Yarrowia lipolytica: one gene and its partner. The protein of the gene in region 1 purifies or fractionates together with the protein of each later gene. This does not show direct contact. Links are inferred from orthologs where the notes say so. Each region holds a gene or a part of one and is shown in the gene's direction. Other genes may lie near its edges.

Evidence for each region.
Region 2: the proteins of YALI1_C23926g (region 1) and YALI1_E11768g purify together in Saccharomyces cerevisiae (affinity purification with mass spectrometry; 5 studies listed by BioGRID, with this or other methods). This does not show direct contact. The link is inferred for Yarrowia lipolytica from reciprocal best matches to the Saccharomyces cerevisiae genes CPR6 and URA2.

What each region holds. Positions count from the first base shown.
Region 1 is NC_090772.1:2,390,986-2,394,206, reverse strand, and holds YALI1_C23926g (uncharacterized protein), read left to right. Parts: upstream 1-1,593; coding exon 1,594-2,697; downstream 2,698-3,221. Other genes in the region: YALI1_C23948g (uncharacterized protein), read left to right, coding at 1-762. UniProt on the Saccharomyces cerevisiae protein: PPIases accelerate the folding of proteins. It catalyzes the cis-trans isomerization of proline imidic peptide bonds in oligopeptides.
Region 2 is NC_090774.1:1,170,758-1,178,728, reverse strand, and holds the start of YALI1_E11768g (uncharacterized protein), read left to right. Parts: upstream 1-1,934; coding exon 1,935-7,971. Other genes in the region: YALI1_E11770g (uncharacterized protein), read right to left, coding at 1,446-1,679, 1,723-1,749. UniProt on the Saccharomyces cerevisiae protein: Multifunctional protein that encodes the first 2 enzymatic activities of the de novo pyrimidine pathway: carbamoylphosphate synthetase (CPSase; EC 6.3.5.5) and aspartate transcarbamylase (ATCase; EC 2.1.3.2).

The sequences.
Region 1 (3,221 bases):
GGAAAGTTCTACATTGTCAACGGTATCAAGAAGTGGATCACCAACGGTATCTGGGCTGACTACTTCACTGTTGCCGTCCGAACCGGTGGCCCCGGCTCTGGCATGAACGGTATCTCTGTTCTGCTGCTCGAGCGAGGCATGGAGGGTCTTGAGACCCGACGAATGAACACTCAGGGTATGCTGTCTTCCGGCTCTACCTGGGTCACCATGGAGGATGTCAAGGTCCCCGTGGAGAACCTGCTCGGCAAGGAGAACAAGGGTTTCAAGGTCATCATGACCAACTTCAACCACGAGCGAGTTGGTATCATCATCCAGGCAAACCGAGCTTCTCGAGTTTGCTACGAGGAGGCCTGCAAGTACGCCCACAAGCGAAAGACTTTCGGCAAGCCTCTGATTGAGCACCCCGTCATCCGAGCCAAGCTCGCCAACATGGCCATTCGAATCGAGTCCACCCACGCCTGGCTCGAGAACCTGGTCTTCCAGTGCCAGATGTTCCCCGAGGAGGAGGCCATGCTTCGACTTGGTGGTGCCATTGCTGGTTGCAAGGCCCAGGCCACCCAGACCCTCGAGCTGTGTGCCCGAGAGGCTTCCCAGATCTTTGGTGGTCTTTCCTACACCCGAGGCGGTCTCGGAGGTAAGGTTGAGCGACTGTACCGAGAGGTCCGAGCCTACGCCATCCCCGGTGGATCCGAGGAGATTATGCTGGATCTGGCCATGCGACAGGCCCTCAAGGTCCACAAGGCTGTTGGCGCCAAGCTTTAAGTTAGTATATAGTGAATGATTGACAATGATATCGCCAATGGCGCTGAGCAAGTAGAGTTTGTCAAAACTAATTTCCACCATTAGAAGTCATCTAAACCGTTTGACTTGTATTTTAAAATTAGTTGGATATAGTTACAATCAAAATCAGGCTGGGGGTCTCTTTTCGATGTTCCAGAGTCGGAATCGTTGAGAAAACAGTACCATTTTACCCTCAATTGATGCATTCTAAGCAACTTTTCAGTTATAATAGCAGTTTGTGTCCTGTGCTGAAGTTATCTCAGCTTTTCATCTCATCAGTTCCAAATTTAGTTAGTAGTTTTGTTGGGATCTTGTTAGCATGATTAGTTGCTCAACAATCGCCGGCCGTACAAGTACTTGTACTGGAGTGAGGAATTTTGTCTCTGTACAGTCATCTTGCCTTGTATAGCTCCATAAGTTACAATTAGCCGTCATCAACCCTTCTTCCAGCTTCTCATTCAGCCACTGAGACAGTTCGATCCTGATCCAATTTGACTTGCTGGGTTGGGCGCTGATCTTGACGCCTGCAGTGTGAAAAATGTAGCCCAGAGATAGGGAGCCGGAAAGACGGTGGAAATGAAAGGGAGGGGTAGAGACTGAAATGACACACAAGCAGTCGCAACCGGGCCTCCCAGAACCAACACAAAGAGCTGCTGACCCCGATTCTGGGGGAGATTCATTCTCGAACCTTCTACAGCTTACCTTCTGCACATGCGTCAAACCTCCCAAAGATGCATATATGGCCAAAGGTACGGGCGTGCCTAACGCCCCCACGAACACAACCCAACCCGTTACACATCACACACATACACAATGACCAACCCCCGAGTGTTTTTCGAGGTCGCAATTGGCGGCAAGACCATCGGCAAGATCTACTTTGAGCTGTTTGCCGACAAGGTGCCCAAGACCGCCGAGAACTTCCGAGCTCTGTGCACTGGCGAGAAGGGCAACACCCAGGCCGGAATCCCTCTGCATTTCAAGGGCTCGTCTTTCCACCGAGTCATCAAGGACTTTATGGTGCAGGGAGGAGACTTCACCGCTGGCAACGGTACCGGAGGAGAGTCCATCTACGGGGAGAAGTTCCCTGACGAGGCGTTCCCTTACCCCCATGATCAGCCCTTCTTGCTGTCAATGGCCAACGCCGGGCCCAACACCAACGGCTCGCAGTTCTTCATCACCACCACCGAAACCCCCCATCTCGACAACAAGCATGTGGTATTTGGCAAGTTGCTCAGCGGCAAGGGTATTGTGCGACAGATCGAGCGAACTGAGACAGGCGAGCAGGACCGACCCAAGCAGCCCGTCACCATTGTGGACTGCGGAGAGCTGCCCGCAGACTTCCAGGTGCCTGTTGGAAACGTCGACGACGGCACTGGAGACGACTACGAGGACTTCCTCAAGGATAACGACAATGTGGACGTGAACGACCCTGCCTCTGTGCTGGGAGCCATTGAGAAGCTCAAGTCGATCGGAACCAAGCTGTTCAAGGAGGGAAACGCCGAGGGAGCGCTCAAGAAGTACCTCAAGGCCACCACCTACCTGGAGGACTATCTTCCCGATGATTTGTCCGAGGAGAACATTGCCAAGGTGCATGCTCTGCGAATCTCGTGCTACCTCAACGTGGCTCTCATGGCTCTTAAGGTCAACCAGCCCAAGGTTGCCATCAAGGCCGCGACTTCTGCTCTTGATGACGAGACTGTGGCCAACAAGGAGAAGGCCAAGGCTTTGTTCCGACGGGGATCTGGATACGCCGCTCTCAAGAACGAGACCGACGCTCTCAAGGATCTGAATGCTGCTCTGGAGCTCGAGCCCGCTGATGGGGCCATCAAGAACAAGATTGAGGAGGTCAAACAGGCTGCGCAGAGACGACGGGAGGCGGAGAAGAAGAAGTATGCTGGTTTCTTTGGAGGCAAATAAGCAGAGCGATTGTTTGATTGGCTGGACAGTGCTTGGTGGTGTGATAGCACAAGGGTATATAGTAACGATGATGACATGGAAACTTGTTTGTACAGTACGTGCAATAAAAGTATTTGTTTGGTGATGTGGACTGTAGTACAATACAGGTACTCTCAACTAGCCTCAGTGGCTAGCAATGGCTTGAACAATTGATGATTCAGCATGAGACAAAAACTATTGTACAAGAAACTGATACATCAGTGGGTATCCACTACTTGTAATGCAAGCCATGCTGTTCAGAACTTGGACAAGTACGAGAACTACTACAAATATTGGCACTTGTACAAGTAGCACTTGTATCTCCTAGACTTCAGAGTCCCGTTTCCCAAGTCTGAACACCATGAGCATGCATAAGACGAATACTGATATGTTGGCTGTGGCCTACGCCGACAATATACCGATGATGTAACCGAGGCAAATGATGTGCAGTTATTCTGGACAAGTACAGTCACGATTCAGGTCTTTGGATACGATACTTGGCCGAA
Region 2 (7,971 bases), on another chromosome or scaffold:
ATGGTATCGATGCGACGAACAAAATGCACGTTTCAGATCCAAAATCGGACCACTATTGGGCCCAAAACCCCCACACTCTCCATGAGACCCACCTGAGCTTATCTTTTTCAGCAACTGTGCGATGCGATCCGTCGTGTGACCGCATTCAGACAAGAAGCGCCTTCACAGTCACTGCACATATTTTGTTAAGACACTTGGATGGCCGAGTAATGGGCGATGATGGACAACCCAGACCAACATCACGACGTGGATGGTCCACGCAACTACCGTAACGACCGACAAAACAGCCAAGTGGGTGTTCGCCTCATCAATTGCACCTTTCAACGTCTCGTTTCTTTTTACACACACGGTTTTTTTTTGCACCGTTTTCCGCCGCTGCCATCTCAATCACCAGCCGCGTACCTCGTTCATGCATCGTGTGGAAAAAAAATTGATTTGGGTTCGAAATGTGCCATGGAGACGAGGTTGGGAGGTGCTACTGGTGGCTAATGTGGGTTGTGGGGAGGGTGGAAACGAGATAAGACGCTCGAAAAGTGGTCATGTAGCCCGAAGAAATGGGATCGTGCATTTTTCGTTTCCGAAATCGGCCCCCAAGGAGCCCTTTAAGACCCCTTGCCCACCCACTCATGTCTTTCTCAGGGTCCAATTATGACTCGGACTGTTTCCAATTTTTTTTTGTTTTTAGCGTTAAGGTTCTTTTTATTTCAATCGGCCTTTTTTTCCCTGACTGACAGTATAGCGACAGTTGCCACCGAGAATAGGTCGGTATTTCTCGCGGATATACGCCGTTTTTCCAGGAGATTGGGCGTCAATTGTACAGAATGGGTCACGTGAGTCCGATTTCCGGGCAGAAACGGTCGCTTTTTGCTCTGGAAATGGGGCTTTTAACCGTGCTGTTCGGCCTTCGGCTTCTGACAAGGTTCGTTAGGTGGAGAAGTGGCGACATTCGAAAGGAATCTGGAGGACCCAATAGTGGCCGAATCGCGCGGAAAAAAAGATGACAGATAATTGACACTCTTATAGACCATCTGTCAAAATTCCAGGCTCCTCATCACACTATTTCCACCCCCAACTCCCCCCAGGGTAAGGTCCCAAAGTCCTCTTTATGCACCCAAACCTTGAGGTTATAAATTTTTTCATTGGCCTCGATATTTATATAGGCGAGGAACACCCATGTGTCTCCTTCTCTCTCCTCTCCTCTCTCTCTCTCTCTTCCTCACGAAATCTTTTGTCCTATTCGGCAGGTGTAGCAAAGGAGTAAAAGTGAGTGAGTGAAGACGATTGAGAGATTGAGACGGATGGAAGGAAACAACCGTGGACGGACGCTTGTCTGAGTCTGGGGCCCAGTGTGTGGGGTGGTGGTAATGGCTGGGGTCCTGTGGGGTGCATTATTTAGATGTGCAGTGCCCTACATGTCGTCAGTCTTGTAGTCCCACGTATGCAGTTTACTGCCATGTTGCAGCTACTGAAGTGCTGAACGGCTGCTGAATGCTGAACGGCTGCTGAAGAGCTGAGCTGCTGCTACTGACCGACGGGTGAGCTGCTGTCCTGCCATCGACCATTGCAGATACATGTGATCTGTGGTGGTTGTGGGGATGCTGGAGTAACGTCAATGGTGCTGTTGGTAGCGTAGTGCTGCTGCTGCTTCTCTGCAACCCTACTGATGGTCTGAGCTTGCACTTCACACTCTACAACTACACCACACACACACCCTCAACACACCGAATGTCTTTTGCTACCCATTCTCATCCTCAGTAGTTAGTATTGGTATTTTTGAGAGACGACAAAAACGCTGCGACTCTGCCCGATCCACCAAAACCACGGCTTCTGCATGACGCCGCGATCGATCGATGTTGAAGATACAGTCAGTTCCTGTGCTCTCTAGACGTCACCGTAGCACACGATCACACTCCGTTCGATCATACTAACCCAGAATGACCCCCTCGCTTCCCATCTTCCCCCCCCTCAACCCCGAGGACAAGCTCATGACCCTGGAGCTTCAAGACGGCACTGCCGTTCAGGGTTACTCTTTCGGAGCCGACAAGCCTGTGGCGGGCGAGCTCGTGTTCCAAACCGGTATGGTGGGCTATCCCGAGTCCATCACCGATCCCTCCTACCAGGGTCAGATTCTGATTGTCACCTTCCCCCTGGTCGGCAACTACGGTGTCCCCTCTCGAGAGGCCGTGGACGAAGTGGTCAAGGGCCTCCCCAAGCACTTTGAGAGCAACAAGATCCATGTGGCGGGTCTTGTTGTTGCCTCGTACACCGAGGAGTACTCGCACTTCCTGGCCGAATCTTCTCTCGGTGCCTGGCTCAAGGAGCAGGACATTCCTGCCATCTACGGCGTCGACACCCGACGAATGACCAAGCACATCCGAGAGGAGGGTTCCATGCTCGGACGACTGTGCATTGACAACGCGGTCCCTGAGTGGGTCGACCCTAACAAGCTCAACCTGGTCGCCGAGGTTTCCATCAAGGAGCCCAAGCTCTACACCCCTCCTGCTGACCGAGCTATTCACGTCAACGGCAAGCCTGTTCGAATCCTGGCTGTCGACGTTGGTATGAAGTACAACCAGATCCGATGCTTTGTCAACCGAGGCGTCGAGCTTCTGGTCGTCCCTTACAACTACGACTTCCTCAACGAGGAGTACGACGGTCTCTTCCTCTCCAACGGTCCCGGAGATCCCTCCGTGCTCAAGGAAACCGCCGCTCGAATCGCCAAGGCCGTCGAGGCCAAGAAGACCCCCATCTTTGGTATCTGTCTTGGTCACCAGCTGCTTTCTCGATCTACCGGCGCCACCACTCTCAAGATGAAGTTCGGTAACCGAGGACACAACATTCCCTGCACCAACTTGCTGTCTGGTCGATGCTACATCACCTCGCAGAACCACGGTTACGCTGTGGACGCCAAGTCTCTGACTGGCGGCTGGGAGGAGCTTTTTGTCAACTCCAACGACGGCTCCAACGAGGGTATCTATCACAAGGACCTGCCCTTCTTCTCGGTGCAGTTCCACCCCGAGTCCACCCCCGGTCCCCGAGACACCGAGTTCCTGTTTGACGTTTTCATCAAGGCTGTCGTCGAGCACAAGACCTCTGGTGTTCTCAAGGCCATCGAGTTCCCCGGTGGCACCATTGAGGAGAACCGAGCCGCTCACCCCCGAGTGCAGGTCAAGAAGGTGCTTGTTTTGGGCTCTGGAGGTCTCTCCATTGGCCAGGCTGGTGAGTTCGACTACTCCGGTTCTCAGGCCATCAAGGCTCTCAAGGAGGAGGGCATCTACACCGTGCTTATCAACCCCAACATTGCCACCATCCAAACCTCCAAGGGTCTGGCCGACAAGGTGTACTTCCTGCCTGTGACCCCCGAGTTTGTGCGAAAGGTGATCAAGTACGAGCGCCCCGACGCCATCTACGTCACCTTTGGTGGCCAGACCGCTCTCAACGTTGGTATCGAGATGAAGGACGAGTTTGAGGGTCTCGGTGTCAAGGTGCTCGGTACCCCCATCGACACCGTCATCACCACCGAGGACCGAGAGCTGTTTGCCCGATCCATGGAGGAGATTGGCGAGAAGTGCGCCAAGTCGGCCACTGCTTCTTCCAAGGAAGAGGCTCTTGCTGTCGTTGAGGAGATTGGCTACCCTGTTATCGTTCGAGCTGCCTACGCTCTTGGTGGTCTAGGTTCCGGTTTTGCCGACAACGAAGCCGAGCTGATCGAGCTGTGTAACAAGGCGTTTGCCGGCTCACCTCAGATCCTGGTCGAGCGATCCATGAAGGGCTGGAAGGAGATTGAGTACGAGGTTGTTCGAGATGCCTTTGACAACTGTATCACTGTGTGTAACATGGAGAACTTCGACCCTCTCGGTATCCACACTGGTGACTCCATCGTCGTGGCCCCCTCTCAGACCCTGTCTGATGAGGACTACAACATGCTGCGAACCACCGCTGTCAACGTCATCCGACATCTCGGTGTGGTTGGTGAGTGTAACATCCAGTACGCCCTCAACCCCTTCAGCAAGGAGTATTGCATCATTGAGGTCAACGCCCGTCTGTCTCGATCTTCTGCCCTGGCTTCCAAGGCCACCGGCTACCCCCTGGCATTCATCGCTGCCAAGCTTGGTCTCAACATTCCCCTGAACGAGATTCGAAACTCCGTCACCCAGGTCACCTGTGCCTGTTTCGAGCCCTCTCTGGATTATGTTGTTGTCAAGATTCCTCGATGGGATCTCAAGAAGTTCACCCGTGTGTCTACTCTGCTGTCTTCCGCCATGAAGTCCGTCGGAGAGGTCATGTCTATCGGTCGAACCTTTGAGGAGGCCATCCAGAAGGCCATCCGGTCCACTGACTACCAGAACCTGGGTTTCAACGAGACCGAGGCTCTCATGTCGATCGACATTGACTCCGAGCTGCAGACTCCTTCTGATCAGCGACTGTTCGCAATTGCCAACGCTCTGCACTCTGGTTACACCGTGGACAAGATCTGGGAGCTCACCAACATCGACAAGTGGTTCCTTAACAAGCTGGACGGTCTGGTCAAGTTCGCCAAGGGCCTGACCAAGTACAACAACTCCAACCTGCCTGTCAACATCATGCGAGAGGCCAAGCAGCTGGGTTTCGACGATCGACAGATTGCCAAGTACACCGGCTCCAACGAGCTGGCTGTGCGTCTCAAGCGAGTCGAGGCTGGTGTCACCCCTTTCGTCAAGCAGATTGATACCGTTGCTGCTGAGTTCCCCGCCTTCACCAACTACCTTTACATGACCTACAACGCTGACTCCCACGATCTGACCTTTGACGATCACGGCACCATGGTCCTTGGTTCTGGTGTCTACCGAATCGGCTCTTCCGTCGAGTTTGACTGGTGTGCTGTTCGAGCCGTCCGAACTCTTCGAGAACAGGGCGCCAAAACCATCATGGTCAACTACAACCCCGAGACTGTGTCTACCGACTACGACGAGGCCGACCGACTCTACTTTGAGGTCATCAACATGGAGCGAATCCTCGACATTTACGAGCTGGAGCGATCCTCCGGTGTCGTCATCTCCATGGGTGGTCAGACCTCCAACAACATTGCTCTGCAGCTGTACCGACAGAACGTCAACATTCTCGGTACTTCTCCTGAGATGATCGACTCTGCCGAGAACAGATACAAGTTCTCCCGAATGCTGGACACCATTGAGGTTGACCAGCCTGCCTGGAAGGAGTTGACCTCCATCGACGAGGCCGAGGCCTTTGCCGAGAAGGTCTCTTACCCTGTGCTTGTGCGACCTTCTTACGTGCTTTCTGGTGCCGCCATGAACACCGTCTACACCCGAGACGATCTGGCCTCTTACCTCAACCAGGCTGTCGAAGTGTCTCGAGACTACCCTGTCGTCATCACCAAGTACATTGAGAACGCCAAGGAGATTGAGATGGACGCTGTTGCCAAGGACGGTAAGCTCATCATGCACGTTGTTTCCGAGCACGTTGAGAACGCTGGTGTGCACTCTGGAGATGCCACTCTGATTGTGCCTCCCCAGGATCTCGATCCCGAGACTGTCCGACGTATTGTCGTGGCCACCGCCAAGATTGGTAAGGCTCTGCAGGTGACTGGTCCCTTCAACATTCAGTTCATTGCCAAGGACAACGAAATCAAGGTCATTGAGTGCAACGTGCGAGCCTCTCGATCTTTCCCCTTCGTGTCCAAGGTGACCGGTGTTGATCTCATTGAGATGGCCACCAAGGCTATCTGCGGTTTCCCAGTCTCTCCTTACCCCCTGGAGGAGCTCCCCCAGGACTTTGTCGCCGTGAAGGTACCCCAGTTCTCCTTCTCTCGACTGTCTGGAGCTGACCCCATCCTCGGTGTCGAGATGGCCTCCACTGGTGAGGTTGCTACCTTTGGCAAGAACAAGTACGAAGCCTACCTCAAGGCTCTGCTTGCCACTGGCTTCAAGCTGCCCAAGAAGAACATTCTTCTGTCCGTTGGTTCTTACAAGGAGAAGGTTGAGCTGATGCCCTCCATCAAGCGACTCCACGAGCTCGGCTTCAAGCTGTTTGCCACTGCCGGTACAGCCGACTTCATCCAGGAGCACGGCGTTCCCGTCCAGTACCTCGATGTCCTCAACGAGGGTGCTGACGAGGAGAAGTCTGAGTACTCGCTGACTCAGCACCTGGCCAACAACATGATCGACCTATACATCAACCTGCCCTCTTCCAACCGGTTCCGACGACCCGCCAACTACATGTCCAAGGGTTACCGAACTCGACGTCTGGCTGTTGACTACGCCGTTCCTCTGGTGACCAACGTCAAGAACGCCAAGTTGCTGACCGAGGCTCTGGCTCGAAACATGACTCTGGACGTGTCCGCCACCGACTTCCAGTCGTCTCACAACACTGTGACTCTTCCTGGTCTGGTCAACGTGGCCGGTGTGGTTCCCGACATTGCCATTGCTGGCTCTTCCGACATTGCCGACTTCACCAAGGTGTCTCTGCGATCTGGCTTCACCTTCTCTCGACTGCTCCCCATGGGCGTGTCCGAGTCCATCATCGATCTGGCTTCGCTTCAGACTGCTCAGGCTAACGCCGAGGGCCACTCCTTCACAGACTATAACCTTTCTGTGGCTGCCACTGCTCACAATGCCAACGAGGTTGGTAAGGTGACCGGCAAGGTTGGTTCTCTGGTGCTGCCCTTCAGCAAGCTGGGCGACAACACCACCAAGGTGGCTGCCATCTCGGAGCACTTTGGCGCCTGGCCCGCCAACAAGCCCATTGTCACTGACGCCACCACCACCGACCTGGCCTCCATTCTGCTGCTGGCTTCCCTGCACAACCGGCCCATCCACGTGACCGGCGTTGTTGACAAGAACGACATTGTGCTGGTTGCCATGGCCAAGGAGCGAGGTCTGGCTGTCACCTGTGACGTGTCCGTCTTTGCCCTCTTCTTTGCCCGAGAGGACTACCCCGAGGCCCACTCTCTGCCCACCCAGGAGGACCAGGATGCTCTGTGGGCCAACCTTGCCACCATCGACTGCTTCTCCGTCGGCATTCTGCCTTCTCAGATGGCCAAGGAGCTCGGCCAGCCCGTTGTCGCTGGTCTTGGTGTTGCCGAGACCCTGCCTCTGCTGCTCTCTGCCGTGGCTGACAAGCGTCTCACCGTCGAGGACATTGAGGCTCGGCTCTACACCAACCCCGTTCGAATCTTCGAGCTGGTGGAGCAGCCCGACACCTCCATTGTCGTCAACCTCGGCCGAAAGTACACTTTCAAGTCCAAGGGTCTGTGGTCTCCCATGGCCGGCAAGCCTGCCACTGGCTCCGTTGAGCGAGTCATTGTCGGCGGACAGACTGTTGTCCTTGAGGGTGACCTCAACGGTGCTTCCACCGGCAAGGCCATCTCCATCCACCCCCAGGCTGCTCCCGTTGAGGCTGCTCCTGCCACCCAGGAGATGGTGCACTCCCCCACCACCCCCCGAATGGCCCGATTCTCATTCTCCTCCGACGTTCGACCCTTCGCTAACAACCACGTTGAGTCGTCTGTTGTCGGTGCCATCCCCCCCGAGGTTTCCGCTCCTTCCATTCTCAACAAGCTGCGACGAAACCCCTTCCTTGGTCAGCACATTCTCTCTGTCAACCAGTTCTCCAAGGAGAACCTGCACGACATTTTTGCTCTGGCCAACGAGCTGCGACAGGCTGTCAAGCGAGTCGGTGTTCTGGACATCCTCAAGGGTCGTCTGCTGACCACCCTCTTCTACGAGCCTTCCACCCGAACCGCCACTTCCTTTGATGCCGCCATGCAGCGACTTGGAGGCCGTGTCATTGCCGTCAACGTCGACGCCTCCTCCTACAAGAAGGGCGAGACCCTGCAGGACACTCTCCGATCTGTTGCTTGCTACTCGGACGCCATCGCTCTGCGACACCCCGACCCCGAGTCTGCCAACATCGCCGGCCGATTCTCTCCTGTCCCCGTCATCAACGGTGGCAATGGATCCGTCGAGCACCCCA